2 linked regions of the Anolis sagrei genome follow. The protein of the gene in region 2 purifies or fractionates together with the protein of the main gene of each other region. This does not show direct contact. Links are inferred from orthologs where the notes say so. Each region holds a gene or a part of one and is shown on either strand. Other genes may lie near its edges.

The links. Proteins that work in one complex are often made in the same cells at the same time.
Region 1: the proteins of DAP3 (region 2) and YBX1 purify together in Homo sapiens (co-immunoprecipitation; 3 studies listed by BioGRID and IntAct, with this or other methods). This does not show direct contact. The link is inferred for Anolis sagrei from reciprocal best matches to the Homo sapiens genes DAP3 and YBX1.

Annotation. Positions count from the first base shown.
Region 1 is NC_090033.1:17,323,552-17,331,263, reverse strand, and holds the start of YBX1 (Y-box-binding protein 1), read right to left. Parts: upstream 3,058-7,712; 5' UTR 3,043-3,057; coding exon 2,622-3,042; intron 1-2,621. UniProt on the Homo sapiens protein: DNA- and RNA-binding protein involved in various processes, such as translational repression, RNA stabilization, mRNA splicing, DNA repair and transcription regulation.
Region 2 is NC_090032.1:8,027,561-8,034,809, forward strand, and holds the start of DAP3 (small ribosomal subunit protein mS29), read left to right. Parts: upstream 1-4,152; 5' UTR 4,153-4,327; exon of another isoform or gene 4,328-4,500; intron 4,501-7,249. UniProt on the Homo sapiens protein: As a component of the mitochondrial small ribosomal subunit, it plays a role in the translation of mitochondrial mRNAs. Involved in mediating interferon-gamma-induced cell death. Displays GTPase activity in vitro.

The DNA of each region.
Region 1 (7,712 bases), on a different chromosome or scaffold from region 2:
AAAGGGGGAAAGTCTGAGGGAAGGAAGGCAAGGAAGAAGAGAAAGGAAAGAAGGGACCAAGGCGGAAGAGAGGAAAAAGAAGGGAAGAGAAAGGAAGAAAGAACAAAGAAGGAGAAAGGAAAGAAAGAGCCACAGAATAAAGCCAAACCCAGGCCAGAAGACATAGATGGAGGCCAGGAAACTATACAAAGTTTGGCCCTAAGGAAGAGAAAGAAAAGTAGGGAGAAGTGAGGAAGGAAGAGAAAACGTAATCATGTGCCACGGAGAAAAGCTAAACCCAGGCCAGCGGATATAGAGATATCTCTGTATAAATAAATAGATACAGAGAGAGGGCAGGAAACTGTTCAAATCCAAAGGTTGGCACAGCTGTGAGGCCTAGTAGTAGTAGCCATGCCCAGCTTCGAGATAAGGGAGGGAAGAAAGAAAGGAAAAAGAGGGAAGAGAAAGGAAAGAAAGGGGGGAAAGTCTGAGGAAAGTAAGGAAGAAGAGAGGAAGGCGGAAGAGGGAAATGGAGAAAGGAAAGAATGAGAGGGAGAAGTGAGGAAGGAAAAGAAAGGAAAGGAGGAAAAGTCTGAGGGGAGAAATGAAAGAAGGAAAGAAAAAAAGAAAGTGAGGGAGGAGTGAGGAAGGAAGAAAGAAAAAGGAGGGAAGAGAAAGGAAAGAAAGGGGAAAAGTCTGAGGAAAGGAAGGAAGAGAGGTAGGTGGAAGAGGGAAATGGAGAAAGGAAAGAATGAGAGGGAGAAGGGAGGAAAGAAAAGAAAGGAGGAAAGGAAGGAAGAAGAGAGGAAGGTGGAAGAGGGAAATGGAGAAAGGAAAGAATGAGAGGGAAAAGGAAGAGAAAGGAAAGGGGGAAAGTCTGAGGGGAGAAATGAAAGAAGGAAAGAAAAAGAGAAAGGGAGGGAGGAGTGAGGAAAGAAGGAAAGAAAAATGAGGGTAGAGAAAGGAAAGAAAGGGGAAAAGTCTGAGGAAAGGAAGGAAGAGAGGTAGGTGGAAGAGGGAAATGGAGAAAGGAAAGAATGAGAGGGAGAAGTGAGGAAGGAAAAGAAAGGAAAGGAGGAAAAGTCTGAGGGGAGAAATGAAAGAAGGAAAGAAAAAAAGAAAGTGAGGGAGGAGTGAGGAAGGAAGAAAGAAAAAGGAGGGAAGAGAAAGGAAAGAAAGGGGAAAAGTCTGAGGAAAGGAAGGAAGAGAGGTAGGTGGAAGAGGGAAATGGAGAAAGGAAAGAATGAGAGGGAGAAGGGGGAAGGAAAAGAAACGAAAGGAGGAAGTCTGAGGGGAGAAATGAAAGAAGGAAAGAAAAAGAGGAAGGGAGGGAGAAGGGAAGGAAGAAAAAGAAGGGAAGAAAGTCTGGGGAAAGGAAGGAAGAAGGAAGAGAGGTAGGCGGAAGAGGGAAATGGAGAAAGGAAAGAAAGAGAGAGAAGTGAGGAAGGAAAAGAAAGGAGGAAAGTCTGAGGGGAAAAGGAGGGAAGAGAAAGGAAAGAAAGGGGAAAAGTCTGGGGAAAGGAAGGAAGAAGAGAGGAAGGTGGAAGAGGGAAATGGAGAAAGGAAAGAATGGGAGGGAGAAGTGTGGAAGGAAAAGAAAGGAAAGGGGGAAAGTCTGAGGGGAGAAAGAAAAAGAGAAGGAAAGGGGGGAGGGAGGGAGGAAGGAAGAAAAAGGAGGGAAGAGAAAGGAAAAAAAAGGGGGGAAGTCTGGGGAAAGGAAGAAAGAAGAGGGGAAGGTGGAAGAGGGAAATGGAGAAAGGCAAGAATGAGAGGGAGAAGGGAGGAAGGAAAAGAAAGGAAAGGAGGAAGTCTGAAGGGAAAAGGAGGAAAGAGAAAGGAAAGAAAGGGTAAAAGTCTGGGGAAAGGAAGGAAGAAGCAAGAGAGAAATGGAGAAAGGAAAGAATGAGAGGGAAAAGGAAGAGAAAGGAAAGGAGGAAAGGTCTGAGGGGAGAAATGAAAGAAGGAAAGAAAAAGAGAAAGGGAGGGAGAAGGGAAGGAAGAAAAAGGAGGGAAGAGAAAGGGAAGAAAGGGGGGAAAGTCTGGGGAAAGGAAGGAAGAAGAGAGAAATGGAGAAAGGAAAGGATGAGAGGGAAAAGGAAGAGAAATGAAAAGGGGGAAAAGTCTGAGGGGAGAAATGAAAGAGGGAAAGAAAAAGAAAAGACAGGGAGTGAGGAAGGAAGGAAGAAAAAAGAGAGAAGAGAAAGGAAAGGGGGAAAGTCTGAGGAAAAGAAGGGAAAATAAGGGAGGAAAGGAAGAGCCAGAGAGAGAGAGAGAGGCCAAAGGCTGGCTCGAGATGTGAGGCCTAGCAGTAGGCCCGAAGCCTTTCTTCTGCCCAGATCCCGCGCACGCGCACATGGAGGCACACGCACACAAAGGCTGCGCGCGCACCGGCGGCTCCCCCCTCCCGAGACCCCGCCCTCCCCCACCTGGGCCACGCCTCCTTGCTTTGGCGCACGCGCGCTGGAGGCGAAGGGAAAACGAGGCGAGGCCGCCCCCTCCTCCTCCTCCTCCAACGGCTGCTGCACGCGCTCAGGGGCAGCCAGCCAATCAGAGGCGCGGGGGGCGCAGAGAGGAGCCAATGGGAGCCCGGGAAGGGGCAGGGCAGGCCGGAGGGGAAGGGGCGCGCCTGCGCAGTGCCTCACCGATGACCTTCTTGTCCCCGCCGGCAGGGGGCGCTGCGGAGCCGTGGTGGTGGTTGCTGCCATTGCCATTCCCGCCATTGCCGCCGCCATTGCCATTGTTGTTGCCGCCGCCTCCTCCGCTGGGCTTGGCTTCGGGAGAAGCGGGGGCGGCGGGCTCGGGCGGCGCGGCGGGCGGAGAGGAAGACGAGGAGGCGTTGGAGGGCGGCGGGGGCGGCGCCTGGGTCTCGGCCTCGCTGCTCATGGCGGCACGGCTCGCCCGCTTCTCCTTCGGATGGTGACTCGAGGGGCGGGCGGGCGGGTCTCTGCTCCCTGGCTCCGGGCTCGCTCTCCGCTCCCGATCCCGATCGAACTGGCCCACAATGGCGGCGCGCGAGGGCTTAGCCACCCCGCACGCCCCGCCCCCGCCTCCCCCTCGCCCCATTGGCCCGCCCCGCTGCCGCTCAAGCCGCCCGCCCTTCCCATTCGCCCGCTCCTCGCCCTTCCCCGCCCCCTTTCGGGGGCTCCCCCGCTCTGATTGGCTCCACGACCCTCCGTGGCTGCAGGGACTTTGATTGGTCGCTTTGCCATGCCGATCAAAAGGTTCCCCCGCTCTGATTGGCTCCACGCGTCCCTTGGCCCCGCCTAACAAAAAATCCCCGCTCGGCTATGGGCTTTTCTCGCGTAGTGACTCTTATTGGTCGGGGCTTAATGCCAATCAAAGCGGTCCGCTACTCTGATTGGCTCCACACGTTCCTTGGCCCCGCCTAACCAAATTTCCCGCTCGGCTATGGGCTTGTGACTCTTATTGGTCGACATATAATGCCAATCAAAGCGTCTCGCTACTCTGATTGGCTCTACACTTTGCTTGGTCCCGCCTAACAAAATTCCCCGCTCGGCTATGGGCTTGTGACTTATTGGTCGACACGTAATGCCAATCAAAGCGTTCCGCTATCCTCATTGGCTCTACACGTTGCTTGGCCCCGCCTAACAAAAATCCCCCCTCGGCTATGGGCTTTACTCCCGCAGTGACTCCTATTGGTCGGGGTTTAATGCCAATCAAAGCGGTCCGCTACTCTGATTGGCTGTACACGTTCATTGGACCCGCCTACCAAAAAATCCCCGCTCACTCGCGCACTGACTCTTATTGGCCGGCACGTAGTGCCAATCAAAGCGGTCCGCTGCTCGGATTAGCTCCACACGTCCCTTGGCCCCGCCTAACAAAAAATTCCCGCCCGGCTATGGGCTTGACTCGCGCAGTGACTCTTATTGGTCGGCACGTAATGCCAATCAAAGCGGCCCGCCACTCCGATTGGCTTCACGACGTTTCTTAGTCCCGCCTACCAAAAAAATCCCTCGGCCATGGGCTGTCCTCTTGCGGTGGCTCTTATTGGTTGGCATGCAATGTCAATCTAAGCGGTCTGCCGCTCTGATTGGCTCCAAGGGTTTCATTAGCCCCGCCTGTCAAAATCCTCGCTTGGCCATGGGCTGTTCTCCCGCGGCCACGCAATGCCAATCAAAGCAGTCCGCAACTCTGATTGGCTCCACGTCCCTTCTTGGACCCACCCGCCCATGCGCTGCCCTCCCGCGGTGACTCCTATTGGCCGTCGTTTTATGCCAATCAAAGGGGTCCCGCACTTCGATTGGCTTTGCCTGATAGGACCCACCTATACCAATTCCCCGCCTTGATTGGCTTTAGGTCGCTCCTTGGACCCGCCCATGCAAACACCCGCTCGACTATTGGCCGGCACGTGAAGCCAATCAGGGCACCCGCCACCCCGATTGGCTCGACGTTGCCCCTTGATCCCGCCCATCAAATCCCTAATTCGGCCACTCGATTGGCTGCCACCCATTGCCAGTCAGCCAATCCCTCCTCTCCCTGTGCTCTGGCCTTGGCTGCCCTCCCGCGGGTGATTCCATTGGGCGGCACTCAATGCCAATCAAGAGGTCCCACTGTCCCGATTGGCTCTTCCTCTCTCCTTGGCCCCGCCCGTCGAAAGCTCCGCCTGGAACCTCGCAGCTGATTGGGCGAGAGCTCCAACGAAGCCACGCCTGCGGAAGTTGGATTGCCACTGCTTCTCTGCGGGGAGCACGTGGCCACAGGCGGCCTTCCAAGCCATGCTTCCCTTGGCTCAGCCTCTCAAGGCCAGAGATGGGGAAACCAAGAATAATATAGAATAATCATAGAATAATAATATATAATAATAATCATAGAATAATGTATAATGAGAATATATAATAACATAATAATCTGTAACGAAAATATAATAAAACAATGAGAAAATATTGTATATAATATAATAACCTATAATTTTATATATTAACATATTTAATATATTAATATTTATAATATATAATATAATCTATAATAATGAATATAGCATAGTTACCTCCTGGGCCATCCAGTCCAACCCCATTCTGCCAAGAAGCAGGAATATTGCATTCAAATCACCCCTGACAGATGGCCATCCAGCCTCTGCTTAAAAGCTTCCAAAGGAGGAGCCTCCACCACACTCCGGGGCAGAGAGTTCCACTGCTGAACGGCTCTCACAGTCAGGAATTTCTTCCTCGTGTTCAGGTGGAATCGCCTCTCTTGTAGTTTGAAGCCATTGTTCCCTTGCGTCCTAGTCTCCAAGGAAGCAGAAAACAAGCTTGCTCCCTCCTCCCTGTGGCTTCCTCTCACATATTTTACATGGCTATCCTATCCCCTCTCAGCCTTCTCTTCCTCAGGCTAAACTCCTTAAGCCGCTCCTCATAGGGCTTGTTCTCCAGACCTTTGATCATTTTAGTCGCCCTCCTCTGGACACATTCCAGCTTGTCAATATCTCTCTTGAATTGTGGTGCCCAGAATTGGACACAATATTCCAGGTGTGGTCTAACCAAAGCGGAATAGAGCATGGGGAGCATGACTTCCCTAGATCTAGACAGTATATAATCTATTATAATGTAGTATAATTATAAAATGATCTATAAATACAATATATAAATTAAAATATAATGTAATATAATATATAATCTCTAATGAGTATAGTATAAAATAATAAAATAATTTATAATAATATTAATATATATACGTATTTATAATATAAATATAATATATTTGCAATATATAATGTAGTCTAGAATAATGAATATAGTATAATTATAAAGTAATGTATAATTATAATAACATAATATAAGCTATAATATCCATTGGCATAAACATGGGTTGAATACACTAACAGGGAATGGCACGGAGCAGCCAGGAAAAGGAGCCTTTAAAATCCCTCCCCTTTACTATCTATCTGTATTGGGAAGGCTTTCGTGGCCGGAATCATTGGGTTCTCGTAGGTTTTTCGGTCTGTCTGGCCATGTTCCAGAAGCATTCTCTCCAGGCGTTTCACCCACATCTATGGCAGACACCTGCCTCATAGGAAACCTGCTACCAAACAGGAGCTTCTTTGTTGAGTTCCAGGACCAGAGAAGCAGATGGCGGAAACAGAAGAACGGCCTGCCTCAGGGGAGCGTGCTTGCTCCATCCATGTTCAACATCTACACAAATGACCAGCCACTGCCAGAAGGGACAGAGAGTTTCATCTATGCTGATGATCGTGCCATCACCGCTCAAGCAGGGAGCTTTGAGATGGTTGAACAGAAGCTCTCTGAAGCTCTAGGTGCTCTTACTGCCTATTACAGGGAAAACCAGCTGATCCCTAATCCATCTAAAACACAGACATGTGCCTTTCATCTCAAGAACAGAGAAGCATCCTGAGCTCTGAAGATCACCTGGGAAGGAATCCCACTGGAGCATTGCAGCACACCCAAATACCTGGGAGTCACTCTGGACCGTGCTCTGACCTACAAGAAGCACTGCCTGAACATCAAGCAAAAAGTGGGTACTAGAAACAATATCATACAAAAGCTGACTGGCACAGCCTGGGGATCACAACCAGACACAGTGAAGACATCTGACCTTGCTGCTGAGTTACTCTGCTGCTGAGTATGCATGCCCAGTGTGGAAAACATCTCACCATACTAAAACAGTGGATGTGACTCTTAATGAGACATGCCACATTATCACAGGGTGTCTGCGCCCTACACCACTGGAGAAATTACACTGTTTAGCCGGTATTGCACCACCTGACTGACATCCGCCGGGAAGTGGCAGCCAATAGTGAAAGGACCAAGGCAGAGACATCTCCAGCTCATCCCTTGTTTGGGTATCAGCCAGCACGTCAACGACTTAAATCTAGACATAGTTTTATAAGATCTACAGAGACACTCGCTGGAACACCTCAGCAAGCAAGAGTCCAAAAGTGGCAGGCTCAAACCCAGCACCTCAACCAATGGCTGATACCAGATGAGAGACTCCCCCCTGGGCACACAGAAGACTGGGCGACTTGGAAGGCGCTGAACAGACTGCGCTCGGGCACCACGAGATGCAGAGCCAACCTTCAGAAATGGGGCTACAAAGTAGAATCCTCGGCATGTGAGTGCGGAGAAGAGCCAACCACTGACCACCTGCTGCAATGCACCCTGAGCCCCGCCACATGCACAATGGAGGACTTCCTTGCAGCAACACCAGAGGCACTCCAAGTGGCCAGATAGTGGTCAAAGGACATTTAGCCAGTTACCAAACTCACAAGTTGTGTATTTTTCTGTTTGTTTGCTTTGTTCTGTTAGAAATGTAATATAATGGACTGGCTGCTCTGACACGACAAATAAACCCCAGAGGTTGTGAGGTCTGTTCGAAACTAGGAAAATGGGGTTTATATACCTATGGAATGATGTCCAGGGTGAGAGAAAGAACTCCTGTCTGTTGGGGGTAGGTGAGAATGTAGCAATTGGCAAACGTGATTAACATTTAATGACCTAGCAGTTTCAAGGTCTGGCTTCTTACTGCCTGGGGGGAATCCTTCGTTAGGAGGTGTTAGCTGTCCCTGATTGTTTCTTGTCTGGAATTCCCCTGTTTTTGAGTGTTGTTCTTTATCTACTGTTATGATTGTATGTTATTTATTCCGGCTTCCTGCCTGTCTCTGCGTATTCCAAAGGGAGAGGCAGGGAATGACACAAATCCCTTTTATTTACAAGGGGGAAGGAATACAAAAAGAGGACGCGGCGATGATGAAGACAACG
Region 2 (7,249 bases):
GACCTTGATGGTACTCCATAACTGTCAAGGAACACTCTTCTGCCTCATAGCAACCAATGGCTAGCTCAAAAAAGTTTTCAACAATTACTATATGGGACAAATTTAGGCTGTTATGTGTAATGATCTACTGCCATGTGTTAAAACTCTGAGAAGCTGTGATTGACTATGGGTTTTCCAAGTCACAGTCAATCACAGAACACACACAAGTGAATATATATATATCAGATCATTATACATGATGCTCTGTCCCACAAATGAAATATTTCCTGTGCAGAAAGATGTAGCATCTCTAAGATGGCCCTTGGCATCAAAGAATTTATCTTTCTCTTGCATATAACCACACATCTCAGACAAATCGAAGTATTTTCCTAAAGACCAATCTCATCCAATCAGTTAAGGATGTTAAGAACCCATCCGCAAGGATGCCTCTACTAGGATTCTCATTTTATCCATCCAACAGAATTCCTTTCCACTGTCAACAAAACTGCCAGAACCATGCACATGGACATAAACCCCTACAAAAAGAATCTATAACCTTCCTTAAAAATGAAAAAAATATTTCCTTCATCACCATATAAAGTGTACCAAGGGTGCTACATATCAGCATAGCAAACCTTAACCACACACCAGTGAAACATCAAGCTCACCTGCCCCCAACCGAAGCTGCAAGCCTCGCAAGTGTAACTACCTGGCAAGACCAATCTGCAAAAATTCCTAGAAATAAACCTTCTCTAACAAAGCAACAAGAACTCCAAAAAGAGCGATCTGTTGGGAGTTTTTTGATTGTGCATTCCTGAACGGCAGAAGGGTTTGGAATGGATGGCCCTTGAAGACCCTTCCAACACAATGATTCTATGAAAATGTATCTACACAAATTAAACACATAGCCCGATGAGATACAAATACACATGCTAGTCTACACCCCCTCTCCAATGAAGCTGAAAGATCCAAAAGAAAAAATAAAAGAATGCAAGAATACTTTATGTTCGTATATGAGTATAGAGTTGGAAGATACTCCAAGGGCCATCCGTTCCAACCCCCTTCTGCCAGGCAGGAAATACAATCATGTCTCTTTAAGAGAGAAAAAGTGGCATATAAAAAAAGATCATCATCATCAAAGCATTCCTGACAGATGACCATCCAGCCTCTGCTTAAAATCTTTGAGAGAAGGCAATTCCAACATGTGTATGGAATTCTTGTAGTGTTGTTTTGTGGTTCTGGCGTGCATGAGGATCAGGTGCAAAAACAAGCGAAACAAGAGACTTTGGCAGGTGAAAGGCAAACATCTTCAAAACTATTGCAAGGAGGCATGGATACAAATTGTGGGAAAAGATATTCCAATTAAACATTAGGAAGAACTTCCTGGTGGAATATGGTGGTGTCTCCCTCTCTAAAGATTTTTAAGCAGAGGCTGGATAACCATCTATCAGGAGGGCTTGGATTTTGTCTTCCTGCCTGGGAGAAGGGTTTTGGACTAGATGGCATTTAGGGTCTTTTCCAACTCTAGGGTTCTATGAGGCAGGACAGCCAACTGTTGAGTGAGCTCGAATTGTGCCTGCTATGGCAGAACGGGTTTGGACTGGGTGACCTTTGAGATCTCTTCTAATGCTAGGATTCTATAATAATATTCATCATCTTTAATAATGATGATGATGGAGTCTCCTGTGTCCATCTGTTGGGAGGGTTTTGATGGTGTCTTGCTTTACGGCACAAAGTGGTTGGAATGGATGACCATTGTGGTCTCTTCCAACTAGGTTCTATATATTGATGATGATGATGATGATGGTCTCCTTCTCTGGAGGCTTTTAAATAGAAGGTGGATAGCCCATTGGGTCTGTTCCAACTCTGGAATTCTATTTTTCAGGGGGTGGATGGCCATCTGCCGGGATGGTTTCAATTGTGCCTCCCTGCCTGGCAGAATGGAGTTGGACTGATTGACTCTACAGTCTATTCCAACACTAGAATCTGATCATTCAGGGGCTGGATGGACATCTGCCAGGAGGGATTTGATTGTGTCCTCCTTTGATGGCAGATGGGAGCTGGACTGGATGGCCCTTGGCGTCTGTTCCAACTCTGGGATTCTCTGATTCAGAGGATGGCCATCTGCCGGGAGGGTTTTGATTGTGCCTCCCTGCCTGGCAGAATGGGGTTGGACTGGATGGCCCTTGGGGTTGGACTGAATGATCTGTTCCAGCTTTAGGATTCTATGATTGAGAGCAGGTATAGGCAAACTTCGGCCCTCCAGGTGTTTTGGATTCCAACTTTCACCATTCCAAATTGTGGAAGTTGAAATCCAAAACACCTAGAGGGCTGAAGTTTGCCCGTCCCCAATTGGGCAAACTGGTTGGGGTTGGATTGGTTGGCCCTATGGGTCTATTCCAACACTAAAAACTTGTTTATTTGGGGGCTGGATAAAATGTGTCCTCCTTTATGGCAGGAGGGGGCAGGACTAGAAGGCCCCTAGGGTCTACTCCAACTCTGGGATTCTATGGTTCAGAGGTTGGATGGCCATCTGCTGGGAAGGTTTTGATTGTGCCTCCCTGCTTGGCAGAATGGGGTTGGACCGGAAGGCCCTTGGGGTCTGTTCCAACTCTGGGATTCTATGACTCAGAGGTTGGATGGCCATCTGCTGGGAGGGTTTTGATTGTGCCTCCCTGCCTGGCAGAAGGGGTTGGACTGGATGGCCCTTGGGGTCTGTTCCAACTCTGGGATTCTATGATTCTGAGATTGGATGGCCATCTGCCGGGAGGGTTTCGATTGTGCCTCCCTGCCTGGTAGAATGGAGTTGGAATGATTAACCCTAAAGTCTGTTCCAATGCTAGGATCCAATCATTCTGAGGCTGGATGGACATCTGCCAGGAGGGATTTGATAGTGTCCTCCTTTGATGGCAGTTGGGGGCTGGACTGGATGGATTTTCTATTATGCAGAGGATGGCCATCTGTTGGGAGGGTTTTGATTGTGCCTCCCTGCCTGGCAGAACGGGGTTGGACTGGATGGCCCTTGGCGTCTGTTCCAACTCTGGGATTCTATGATTCAGAGGTTGGATGGCCATCTGTTGGGAGGGATTTGATTGTGCCTCCCTGCCTGGCAGAATGGGGTTGGACTGGTTGGCCCTAAGGGTCTATTCCAACACTGGAATCCTGTTTATTTGGGGGCTGGATAAAATGTGTCCTCCTTAATGGTAGGAGGGGGTAGGACTGGACGGCCCTTAGGGTCTGTTCCAACTCTGGGATTCTCTGATTCAGAGGTTGGATGGCCATCTGCCGGGAAGTTTTTGATTGTGCCTCCCTGCCTGGCAGAATGGGGTTGGACTGGATGTCCCTTGGGGTCTGTTCCAACTCTGGCATTCTCTGATTCAGAACTTGGATGGCCATCTGCTGGGAGGGTTTTGATTGTGCCTCCCCGCCTGGCAGAATGGGCTTGGACTGGCTGGCCCTACGGATCTATTCCAACACTGTTTATTTGGAGGGTGGATAAACGGTGCCTTCTTCCTTTCTGGCAGGAGGGGGCAGGGCTGGATGGCCTTTGGGGTTCCCTTTCCAGGGTGTCCACACCCCTCGCGGCCAAATCCCCGCCAGAAGGCAGCCACACACGCCCCGCGAGGGGTTCCACCCCCGGAGGAGAGGCTGGGCCTGCCTCCAGTGAGCGACTCCGGCTGTCAGGCTCCGCCAAGGCCCCGAGGCCTAGCTGTCACAGGGTCCCCGCTCTCTCCTCTCGCTCAGGCCTGGCCGACCCCCGCCTCGCCACTCACCGAACGGCAGCAGCGAGGCATCCTCCTCCTCCTCCTCCTCCGCGCCGCCTCATCCTCCAGGCCGCGAGCGGGGCCACCTGCCTGAGGCGGAGACAAGGCCCGAGCCAGGCCCGAGGCGCGGCAAACTCGGCTCCGGCGGGCCAAACAGCCCCGCGCTCTCTCTGGCTGGGCGCTGAGGGCGGCCGCAGATCCAAAATGGCGGCAACGGTGTAGTAAGCCGCGGCCGTAAGGCAGGCAAGGCAGGCAGGCGGGGAAGCCTCCTTACCTCAGCCAGCGCGCGCGCGCCTCCTGCGTCGCGTGCGCGGGACACGCTCGAGCCGCCGCCGCCGCCGCCTCGCGCACTCTCCCCGCCAACGCGCGTGCGCCAGGGAGCGCGCCTTGGCCACGCCCACCACTCTCCCCCCCCCTCTCTCTCTGCTTGGTTGTAACGACCTTCTCCTCTTTCTGTCAATCAACCGCCCCGCCGGCCAATCACATCTCCCTCCCTTTCGCGCGCGCCCTTCTGCCTGCCTTCGCCTTGACCATCACACTACCCACACACGCCTCAACCTGCCAACCAAGCTTCACAGACCCAAGCAAGTATTCAAATACGTATTTTTTTTTTGGAGGAAGGAAGTATGTCCCTTCAGGCTTTCCGTAGGTAAAGCAAGGAAAGGGATGCTTTGCTCACGCCGTCGAGCAGTAAAGATGGCGGCGCCCAGGAGAGCAAAGTTATAGCGTTCTGGAGGGAGATCTTTTGGCCAAGCAGGTAGGTGGCTCCTCATAGTACTCAGGCTATTTATTATTTATGTGTTTAGTTTACTAGCCGTCCCCTGCCACGGGTTGCTGTTGAGCTCTGTGAGTGCAACATTTTTTTCCGAATGAAGCAGAGAGTATTTGAGGACATCTGAAGGGATACCAAGATGCTTGTTTATAAAGGTTCTTGTGGGTTTTTTCGGGCTATAGGGCCATGTGCTAGAGGCATTTCTCCTGACGTTTCGCCTACATCTATGGCATCTATGGCAAGCATCCTCAGAGGTAGTGAGGTCAACAGACCTCACTACTTCTGAGGATGCTTGCCATAGATGCAGGTGAAACGTCAGGAGAAATGCCTCTAGAACATGGCCCTATAGCCCGAAAAAAACCCACAAGAACCTAGTGATTCCAGCCACGAAAGCCTTCGACAATACCTTGTTTATAAAGCTACTAGCCGTGCCCTGCCACGAGTTGCTGTGGCCCACATGGGGGTTCTGTGTGGGAGGTTTGGACCAATTCTATCGGTGGGGTTCAGGATGCTCTGTGATTGTAGGTGAACTATAAATCCCAGCAACTACAACTCCCAAATGTCAAGGTTCTATTTTCCCCAAACTCCACCAGTGTTCACATTTGGGCATATTGAGTATTCTTGTAGAGTTTGGTCCAGATCCATCATTGTTTGAGCCCACAGTGCTCTCTGGATGTAGGTGAACTACAACTCCAAAACCAAAGAACACTGCCCACCAAACCCTTCCAGTATTTCTGTTGGTCAGGGGAGAACTGTGTGCCAAGTTTGGTTCAATTCCATCGTTGGTAGGGTTCAGAATGCTCTTTGATCATGTTGTTCATTCGTTCCGACTCTTCGTGACGTCATGGACCAGCCCACGCCAGAGCTCCCTGTCGGCCGTCACCACCCCCAGCTCCTTCAAGGTCAGTCCAGTCACTTCAAGGATGCCATCCATCCATCTTGCCCTTGGTCGGCCCCTCTTCCTTTTGCCTTCCACTTTCCCCAGCATCATTGTCTTCTCTAGGCTTTGCTGTCTCCTCATGATGTGGCCAAAGTACTTCAACTTTGTCTCTAGTCTCCTTCCCTCCAGTGAGCAGCCGGGCTTTATTTCCTGGAGGATGGACTGGTTGGATCTTCTCGCAGTCCAAGGCACTCTCAGAACTTTCCTCCAACACCAGAGTTCAAAAGCATCTATCTTTCTTCGTTCAGCCTTCCCTAAGGTCCAGCTCTCACATCCGTAGGTTACTACAGGGAATACCATGGCTTTGACTAGGCGGATCTTTGATCATAGGTGAACTATAAATCCCGGCAACTACAACTCCCAAATATCAAGATTCTATTTTCCCCAAACTCCACCAGTGTTCACATTTGGGCATATTGAGTATTCTTGGAGAGTTTGGTCCAGATCCATCATTGTTTGAGTCCACAGTGCTCTCTGGATGTAGGTGAACTACAACTCCAAAACCAAAGAACACTGCCCACCAAACCCTTCCAGTATTTCTGTTGGTCAGGGGAGAACTGTGTGCCAAGTTTGGTTCAATTCCATCGTTGGTAGGGTTCAGAATGCTCTTTGATCATGTTGTTCATTCGTTCCGACTCTTCGTGACCTCATGGACCAGCCCACGCCAGAGCTCCCTGTCGGCCGTCACCACCCCCAGCTCCTTCAAGGTCAGTCCAGTCACTTCAAGGATGCCATCCATCCATCTTGCCCTTGGTCGGCCCCTCTTCCTTTTGCCTTCCACTTTCCCCAGCATCATTGTCTTCTCTAGGCTTTGCTGTCTCCTCATGATGTGGCCAAAGTACTTCAACTTTGTCTCTAGTCTCCTTCCCTCCAGTGAGCAGCCGGGCTTTATTTCCTGGAGGATGGACTGGTTGGATCTTCTCGCAGTCCAAGGCACTCTCAGAACTTTCCTCCAACACCAGAGTTCAAAAGCATCTATCTTTCTTCGTTCAGCCTTCCCTAAGGTCCAGCTCTCACATCCGTAGGTTACTACAGGGAATACCATGGCTTTGACTAGGCGGATCTTTGATCATAGGTGAACTATAAATCCCGGCAACTACAACTCCCAAATATCAAGATTCTATTTTCCCCAAACTCCACCAGTGTTCACATTTGGGCATATTGAGTATTCGTGTCGAGTTTGGTCCAGATCCATCATTGTTTGAGTCCACAGTGTTCTCTGGATGTAGGTGAATTACAACTCCAAAACCAAAGGACACTGCTCACCAAAGAGTTGGAAATGTTCAGCCTGCAGAAGAGAAGGTTGAGAGGAGACATGAGATCCAGGTTTAAATATTTGAAAGGATGTCATAAGGTTTGTTCAACAGTGAGAGATGGGATTGCTTCAGGTATGCCCACGTTGTGGAAGCATGCCCTCCCCAATTGCTGATCATTTTTAATGGTATGTCAGAGCATAGGCCTTTGAGAATTACTTTTTATACCAAATAAATGAAAATATACACAAATACCGTATATACTCAAGTATAAGCCAACCCAAATATAAGCCGAGGCACCTAATTTTACCACAAAAAACTGAGGAAGCGTATTGACTCGAGTAAAAGCTGAGGGCGGGAAATGCAACAGCTACTGGTAAATTTCAAAATAAAAATAGATTCCAATAAAATTACATTAATTGAGGCATCCGTAGGTTCAATGTTTTGGAATATTTTCATAAAACTGTAATTTAAGATAAAACTCTCCAACTACAATTAAACCATTATTCTAACCTCCTTCAATGCAAAGGATATCTAATTT